Linked DNA regions of Callithrix jacchus. The protein of the gene in region 1 interacts with the protein of each later gene in a pairwise test. Links are inferred from orthologs where the notes say so. Each region holds a gene or a part of one and is shown on either strand. Other genes may lie near its edges.

Region 1 (4,386 bases):
TCCCACCCATTCTTCAGGGTACTGCTCAATTCCCTAACCATTTTGTTCCATGCTGATGTCTGCTTTCTCAACCGACTTCTGCACTTAGCAGTATAACTTGGTCTAACTGGTCAGTCTAATTGCCGGTGTCACAGAAGGTAATATACAGAAGCATGAAACTCATTATTTTGGTCCCAGTCCAACAATATTAGGTACTTTGAGAACAGAGACTATGTTTTCTTCTGTAGCTCTGAAGAAAAGTGAACTTTTCAGGGAAAGACAATGATTGTGGGCCTGAAACAACAAAAACAAAGATGAATTTTCCAGATTCGTCTTTTTCTACAGACTGCCCATTTGCCACTGAAGCCACTGCAGAGGTCTTTTTACCACATGCAGCTGTGCATTTGAAGCATTTACGAAGAATCTGCCTGTCATCATGTTGTAATTATTACTTATAAGAGTTTTCATTTTTTTGTCATTGTTAACTTCACTATGAAGAATGTAATGCCCAGATGATTCATTAAAGTATAATTATAGTTAGCTGGCACAGATTAATAACTAATTAGGCAAGGGACAGTGCAAAAAATACACTTAATAAGATAGGACACAATACTTACAATTGAGTATTTAAATAGTCCTTGAACTGCAGAGAGAATAGACACCTATTTCACAGTCAGTAAAAAGGAAAAAAAAAAAAACCTCTGAAATTTAGATTATTTCAAATCATCATTTGAAACAGTTGAACATTATTAAATCATAACATTTTGATTTGAAGAAGCAGTTATTGTTCCAAATTAAATTCCCTGACGTTCTGAAGAAATCTTATGGAATCTGACATGCTCGAGGGTAAGGAATATTCAGTAACAAAGGGCAGCAAGAGAAAATAGCCTGGTTCACAACTCTGGAATTGATTCACTGTAGCTGAAGCTTAAAGGGGGTGGGTGGAGGGAAGGCTGGCGTAGTGGCCCACGCCTGTAATCCTAGTACTTTGGGAGGCTGAGGCAAGAGGACAGCTTGACCGCAAGTTCAACCAGCCTGTGCAATAAGGCGAAACTCTGTCTCTACAAAAAACACAAAAGTTATCCATGCCTGGTTACATCGCCTGAAGTCCAAACTACTCAGGAGGCTGAGGCAGGAGGATTGCCTGAGCCCAGGAGGTGGAGGCTACAGCAAGCTATGATTGCACCACTGCACTCCAGCCTGGGCATGGGAAACCCAGTCTCTTTATTTAAAAAAGAAAAAGCCTGAATAAATGGGTCCAAGATATGAATCCAAACTGGAATCATAGGATCTCATCATCTTACCATGGCAACTCAACCACATTTTGGCAATTCATACTACAATTGCTCCTGGATCCTCAACTTATTATCATTTTAATTTCCAAAAGCATATTTCAGAGTATTTTGTGTTTCCCAATTCACAGCCCGAAAGGACTCAGACACCTATTTGAGTGAACCCAGGCACATGAGAACTAAAGTTGGACAGGAGCATGTTATGAAGAAAATGTGATGATTCCCCTCTGTCAGCTTGGGTCTCCTGTACCTGACCCTGAACGCCGCCAAGGGTAAGGCTGGGTCTTCCGCACACCTGCACCATGGGCATGGAAAACAGTGCCTTCCTCGCTTGCTAAGGGGCCGATGTGCTAAATCAAGGCTGAAAGAAACCCTGGGCCTGCCCTTAGACATCAGGGTTTTTCCGAGTTTGGTCCTCCTGTCATCAGAAGCAACTCGGGAAGGATGCTCGTTAAAATGCAGATTCCAGCCAGACGCAGTGGCTCACCCCTGTAATCCCAACACTTTAGGAGGCTGAGGCAGGAGGATCACTTGAGGTCAATAGTTCAAGACCAGCCTGGTCAACATGGTGAAATCCATCTCTACTAAAAATGCAAAAAAAAAAAAAAAAAAAAAATTTGCTGGGCATGGTGGCACCCACCTTTAATGCCAGCTACTCGGGAGGCTGAGATAGGAAAATCCATTGAACCCAGGAGGTGAAGGTTGCAGTGAGCCGAGATAGCAGCACTGCACTCCAGCCTGGGTGACAGACTGGGAGTCAGTATCAAAAAGGGCTGGCCTCAGTGGCTCATGCCTGTAATCCCAGCACTTTGGGAGGCCGAGGCGGGCGGATCACCTGAGGTCGGGAGTTCGAGAACAGCCTGACCAACATAGAGAAACCCCATCTCTACTAAAAATACAAAATTAACCGGGCGTGGTGGCGCATGCTTGTAATCCCGGGAGGCTGAGGCAGAAGACTCGCTAGAGGTGGAGATTGCGGTGAGCCGAGATTGCGCCACTGCACTTCAGCCTGGGCAACGAGAAACTCCGTCTCAAAAATTAAATAAAATAAAATAAATAATAAAATACAGGTTCCTGAATCCCAAAGTTGACTACACCAATCAGGATCTCCGGGGTTCGCGAACGTCCATTTTTACAGTCCCACCTCCCGTCCCCCATCCCTCGTCCTCCTTCCTATCCCTCACCCCCTCCCCATCCAGGCCTAGCGGTCTCAGGCCCAGGCGTGCGCAGGCGCGTCCCCCGCCCGCCGCCCACCCGGCCGTCCCGTTCCCCGCACCGCCCACCTGAGGCAGTCGTTGTCTCTCACGAGGCGCGCGCTCTCGGCAGGGGGCAGGAGCCCCCCCTCCAGGTAGAGGCCTAGGAGGGCACCAGAACTGAAGCCGAAGCGCTGGCGGATGAGACTAATGAGATCTGTGACGACTCGGCATCTGTTCAAGTCGACCAGAAGCCAGAAGGCTGTACAGTGCGGGGTAGCTGGCGGTGGGTAATCAAATTGAAGCCGTAGCCTAACCGTCTCGGAGGCTGCCATCTTGCTCGGTGCTCAACGGAAGCCGAGAGATACCACAGGGCTACCGAGTGGCGTACTCGGGCGGCCCGCCCCTCGGAGCTTTTGGCGTGTGCTACCTAGTGGTGGAACCTGGCTACTACAGGCTACGTTAGGGCGAGAACTCGGAGCATGTGGTTGATTTCATTCAATTATTTTCACTACAGGGCTGTGCGAGGGAATAAGTGAAATGCCTTTATTACATTTCTTCCGGGCGCTCTGTAGGGTCTCCTAATTAAGGCGAGTCTCTGGATAAATAACTTCTAAGATACTTACTCATCGACGTAAAAGATTTGTATAAAACAGTCGTAACACATTTCACTGACAAGTTTTCATCATAATTAGTTGAAAAAGATGTAAATCCTAGGCCGGGCGCGGTGGCTCACACCTACAATCCCAGCACTTTGGGAAGCCGAGGCGGGTGGTTCACGAGGTCCAGAGATAGAGACCATCCTGGTCAACATGGTGAAACCCCGTCTCTACTAAAAATACAGATATTAGCTGGGAATGGTGGCACGTGCCTGTAGTCCCAGCTACTTGGGAAGCTGAGGCAGGAGAACCGCTTGAACCCAGGAGGCGGAGTTTGTGGTGAGCCGAGATCATGCCATTGCACTCCAGCCTGGGTAACAAGAGCGAAACTCCGTCTCAAAAAAAAAAAAAAAAAAAAAAAAGATGTAAATCCTAGTGTGTTCTCAGTGTTGACATTTTGAAATAAAACTGCTAATCACTCTTTCAAATGTTTCCAGTGGAATATGAATACCTTAGCCTTTTAATATCCACTACTAAACAAAAATGTCCTTGTATTTATCACCAGTAAGTAAATCAGAAGTTTTACATTATTTCTTTTATTTTTCGAACTAGAATTTACATTTCTCCCACATAATATATATTAACTCTTAATTTTCATGACGAAAGTTAGGAATTATGAACTATTATCCTCATTTAGAGGATTTTTTAAAACCAAGGTTCAGAGAGTTTAAGAAATAACACTAGAGGCCAGGAGCGGTGGCTCACACCTGTAATCCCAGCACTTTGGGAGGCCAAGGTGGGCAGATCACTTGAGACCAGGAGTTCGAGACCAGCCTGGCCAAAATGGTGAAATCCCAACTCTACTAAAAATATAAAAATTAGCTGTGTGTGGTAGCATGAGCCTATAATTCTGGCTACTCAGGAGACCGTGGCAGTAGAATCCCTTGAACCCAGGAGGTAGAGGTTGCAGTGAGCCAAGATCGCACTACTGCACTCCAACCTGGGCAACAGAGCAAGATTCTGTCAAAAAAAAAAAGGAATTAACTTCCCCAAAGTCACTAGACAGTTAAGTTGTAGGTACCAGGGGTTCCATAGATGAATTGAAAACAAATTTTTTAAAGTGAAAGCAAGGTGTTTTGTTTTTCTTTTACTTTTTTAACAGTCTCATTGTCACCCAGGCTGGGGTGCAGGGGTGCGATCTCTGCCTCCTGGGTTCAAGTGACTTCCCATCTGAGCCTCCCTAGTAGCTGGGACCACATGAGTGGGCCACCACACCCAACTAATTTTTATATTTTTTGTAGAGATGGAGTTTTTCCATGGTGG
Region 2 (3,649 bases), on another chromosome or scaffold:
AGGGCCACTATGATTTTTCAAAACTCCAAATAAATATTGAATCTAAAAATTAATTAGTAATTTTAATTTTCATTTTTCTCTTCAAATTTCTTCTCTTCTCCTGAACTGTTGACTTTCAAAAATTCACAGAATGAGCATGTTTCTTACACAGTGGCTTGTCCTTCTTGGAGAAAAAGGTCTGACCTTCCAAACTTTCACAACACACCTGAAAAAGAAGCATTATTTAAGAGGATATTATTTAAAAGGATATTATGCATTATTTAAGAGGATATTAAGAGGATTGTATCAAGTATGCTGGAGAAGGAGAAAGTGATTTTTCCCCCAATGGATAATACGACAAAACACTTTAGTTGGTTATGTTAGACTCCCTAATATTTCACAATTACTAGGACAATTAGATATAATCTTTCAAAAGCAATGAAATATGGCTTTTTCCTAGAATGTATTCTACTTTATAGAAAGCACTGAGCATCACTTTTCTTTATCCAGAGGGAAGATTTATTCCTAACTAAAAATTTAATATAGAAAGAGGGCCCATTAAATATATTGTATCTCCCTGAATTCTAAACAATGTCTTAATTTTGCTTAGTGTTGTAGGGAACCAAAACATGACTCATTTGCTTTACCAAACCTTCCCAAGCCCAACATTAGCTTGCCCACAAATACACAGAATACCTGAGAACTTTTTTTTAAGGGGTGCCTTGTGTTCAAGCTGAGACCTCTTTTTAGTTAGTTTCTTACATAAAGACCCAGGTCAACATCTGGCTGCTGCAGGATTACACAGTCAGCTGACTATCTACATGTACAGCTTCCTGTTCTTCCTGCTGCCTTTGTTAATTAAAATTCTCATGAAGAGCTTTATTAAAGAAAAGGTAAATCTGCTAAAACTTTTGCTTTTTATAGACTTTATGAAGTCTAAGAGATGGATGAGGTAAACATGAGTTCAATGGTAATGTTTGGGGAAATCATTAGGCTTCAATTAATATTACTTTTGTTCCCTTTGTACAATGGGTATTGAAAACTATAGCTATGTTAAATCAAATTTTCAAAAATCAAACACCTGAACAGAGGCATGTTTAGTGGATATTTACTTCCTACATTTAAAAACTATATATTTTAATCTCTGAATCTATCCTAATCATTAAACATAAAACCAAAAATATTAAAATATCAAATGAATAGGCAAATACTTTGTTACATGTTTATTAGACTATAGTCTCAAAAAGAAAAGAATATCCAGAAGCTACTGCTGAGAAAAGAAATGAATCAACATATACTTTATTCCTAGTGTTAATTCAAAAATAGATTTTGATAATTGTTCCTTTGTATTTTAAGAAGTACCTAACATTTCCAAAAACTACTTTTTTTAAGTAAAGGAAACTTACTGTTTTAAGAAATAGATAGCTTCTTCTTATAGACAAAAATATATTAAAATTATATTTTCTCTAAGGACTAAGGATCTCACTGTTTGCCAAATAATTTAAAAAATGCCAAAAAATGTAATAAACAACTTTTAAAATTTACAAAAAAGTAAAAATATATATTTTTTAGGTTCAATGGACTAAAAGATATGAGAGCTGATATTTCCATTAAATACTAAAGCTAGAATTGGCCGTACTATTCCCCTTTAAGTAGGAAGTAAGACTTTACTTACTGAGCATACAAAGCAAGTGTCATGCCAGGTGTAGCCCAGAGCTTCCAGGAACATGTCACCAGCTTCTATGGGAAATTCACATCCATGGCATATAGTACCAAAGAGGGCATAATAATCTGTATTGAGGCAGGGCAGAGAGACATAATTTAAACACAATGAAGTTGTAGAATGATCGTTCCTAGAAGGCAGCAACAAAATCAGGATTAAATGAGATGCTAAAGATAAAGATATTAGGAATTTGAAAAATTTCAGGAGATGGCATAATGTTTGGCTTGAAAGATATGTTCAGCATGTTTCAGGATTCCCTTGGTAAATATTATTTATGCAACCTAACATTCTTGATTATAATTTTCCATGTAATACTTCTCGCTTCTCTCCAACTACTTAATTGCCTAAATAAGTATAAAGAAGAACTGTTCTGGCCAGGTGCAGTGACTCACGCCTGTAATCCCAGCACTTTGGGAGGCTGAGGCAGGTGGATCATGAGGTAAAGAGATCAAGAGCTTCCAGGCAAATATGGTGAAACCCTGTCTCTACTAAAAACACAAAAATTAACTGGGCATGGTGGCACATGCCTATAGTCTCAGCTACTGAGGAGACTGAGGCAGAAGAATTGCTTGAACCCAGCAGAGGGAGGCTGAAGCGAGCCAAGATTGCACCACTTCATTCCAGCCTGGGAGACGGGATGACACTCTGTCTCAGGAGGGGGAAAAAAAGAAGAACTGTTTTGTGACCAGTTATCAGTAGAAATAACTGTTCTAAAGAAATACAAAGGAATACTAATAACTAGCAACAGTAAGACTAATGGACAGGGACCAAGAACAAATGTCTGATATTGGCAAATTTCATAGTGTATCTGACTTGGGCAAGAAAGAAAAAGAAACGTTGCAGGAAACTTGTATGAATAAGTGCTATGACTGAATTTCTAGCTAGACTGTATCACAACAATATTAGCCACAATTTATTTTGTTGTATTTTCCTTTCAATTTTGTAACTTCATGTTGAAAACCCTTGCCCAGAAAAGACCATTTACTTGACATAGACTACAGTTACAAGAATACTAACAGGATTTCCTTCTGAAGAAAGCAGTTTTGAGAAGATGCTTTCTAGTTTTACCAAATTAGAATTTTCTTTCCTTTTTCTTTTTTTTTTCATTAGAGAGTCTCACTCTGTCACCCAGGCTGGAGTGCAGTGGTGTGATAATAATTCACTGCATCTTCCACCTCCTGGGCTCAAGCCATCCTCCTGTCACCATCTCCTGAGTAGCTGAGCCTACAGACACATATCACCATGCCCAGCTAATTAAAAAATTTTTTTCATGTAGAGACAGGGTATTGGTAGGCTGCCTGTGCTGGTTTTGAACTCACAGCCTCAAGGGATAATCCTGCCTTAGCCTCCTGAAGAGCTGGGATTAAAGGCTTTGAGTCACTGTATCTGGCCCTAATTTTCTTTCTTTTCTTTCTTTCTTTCTTTTTTTTTTTTTTTAGACAGAGTCTTGCTCTGTTGCCCAGACTGAAGAGTAGTAGTGCGATCTTGGCTTACAGCAACCTCCGCCTCCCGGGTTCAAGCGATTCTCCTGCCTCACCCTCACGAGTAGCTGAGACTACAGGAGAGGAGCCCATCACCATGCCTAGCTAATTATTTTTGTATTTTTAGTAGAGACAGGGTTTCACCGTGTTGGCCAGGCTGGTTGCCCTAATTTTCTTTTAAGCAGCTCCTCTCACTACTGTGTTGACTCATGGTTCACCCTTTGGCCTTTGACATTGTCAGTCCAACCTCAGCTGAAGAGGAAAGCAGGCTATAATTTGCAATGCAATTCACCTTTCTTAGCAACCGTCAATCTTTAGTATTCCTTCGCACCATTTGCTCAGCATAGATCCATGCAGTCTACTGTGTGCCAGGCATTGTTCAAGGCACCACAGAAGTACAGTGATGAAGAAGACAGTTGAGGTTGCTTTCCTCATGGGGCTTATATTCTCATTGGAAAGAGGATGT

Evidence for each region.
Region 2: the proteins of COIL (region 1) and PDLIM5 interact in binary tests that used the Homo sapiens proteins (3 or more experiments, as listed by UniProt). The two-hybrid records come from large-scale screens. The link is inferred for Callithrix jacchus from reciprocal best matches to the Homo sapiens genes COIL and PDLIM5.

What each region holds. Positions count from the first base shown.
Region 1 is NC_133506.1:109,380,876-109,385,261, reverse strand, and holds the start of COIL (coilin), read right to left. Parts: upstream 2,824-4,386; 5' UTR 2,800-2,823; coding exon 2,555-2,799; intron 1-2,554. UniProt on the Homo sapiens protein: Component of nuclear coiled bodies, also known as Cajal bodies or CBs, which are involved in the modification and assembly of nucleoplasmic snRNPs.
Region 2 is NC_133504.1:102,891,360-102,895,008, forward strand, and holds the end of PDLIM5 (PDZ and LIM domain protein 5), read right to left. Parts: intron 1,771-3,649; coding exon 1,655-1,770; intron 206-1,654; coding exon 116-205; 3' UTR 73-115; downstream 1-72. UniProt on the Homo sapiens protein: May play an important role in the heart development by scaffolding PKC to the Z-disk region. May play a role in the regulation of cardiomyocyte expansion. Isoforms lacking the LIM domains may negatively modulate the scaffolding activity of isoform 1.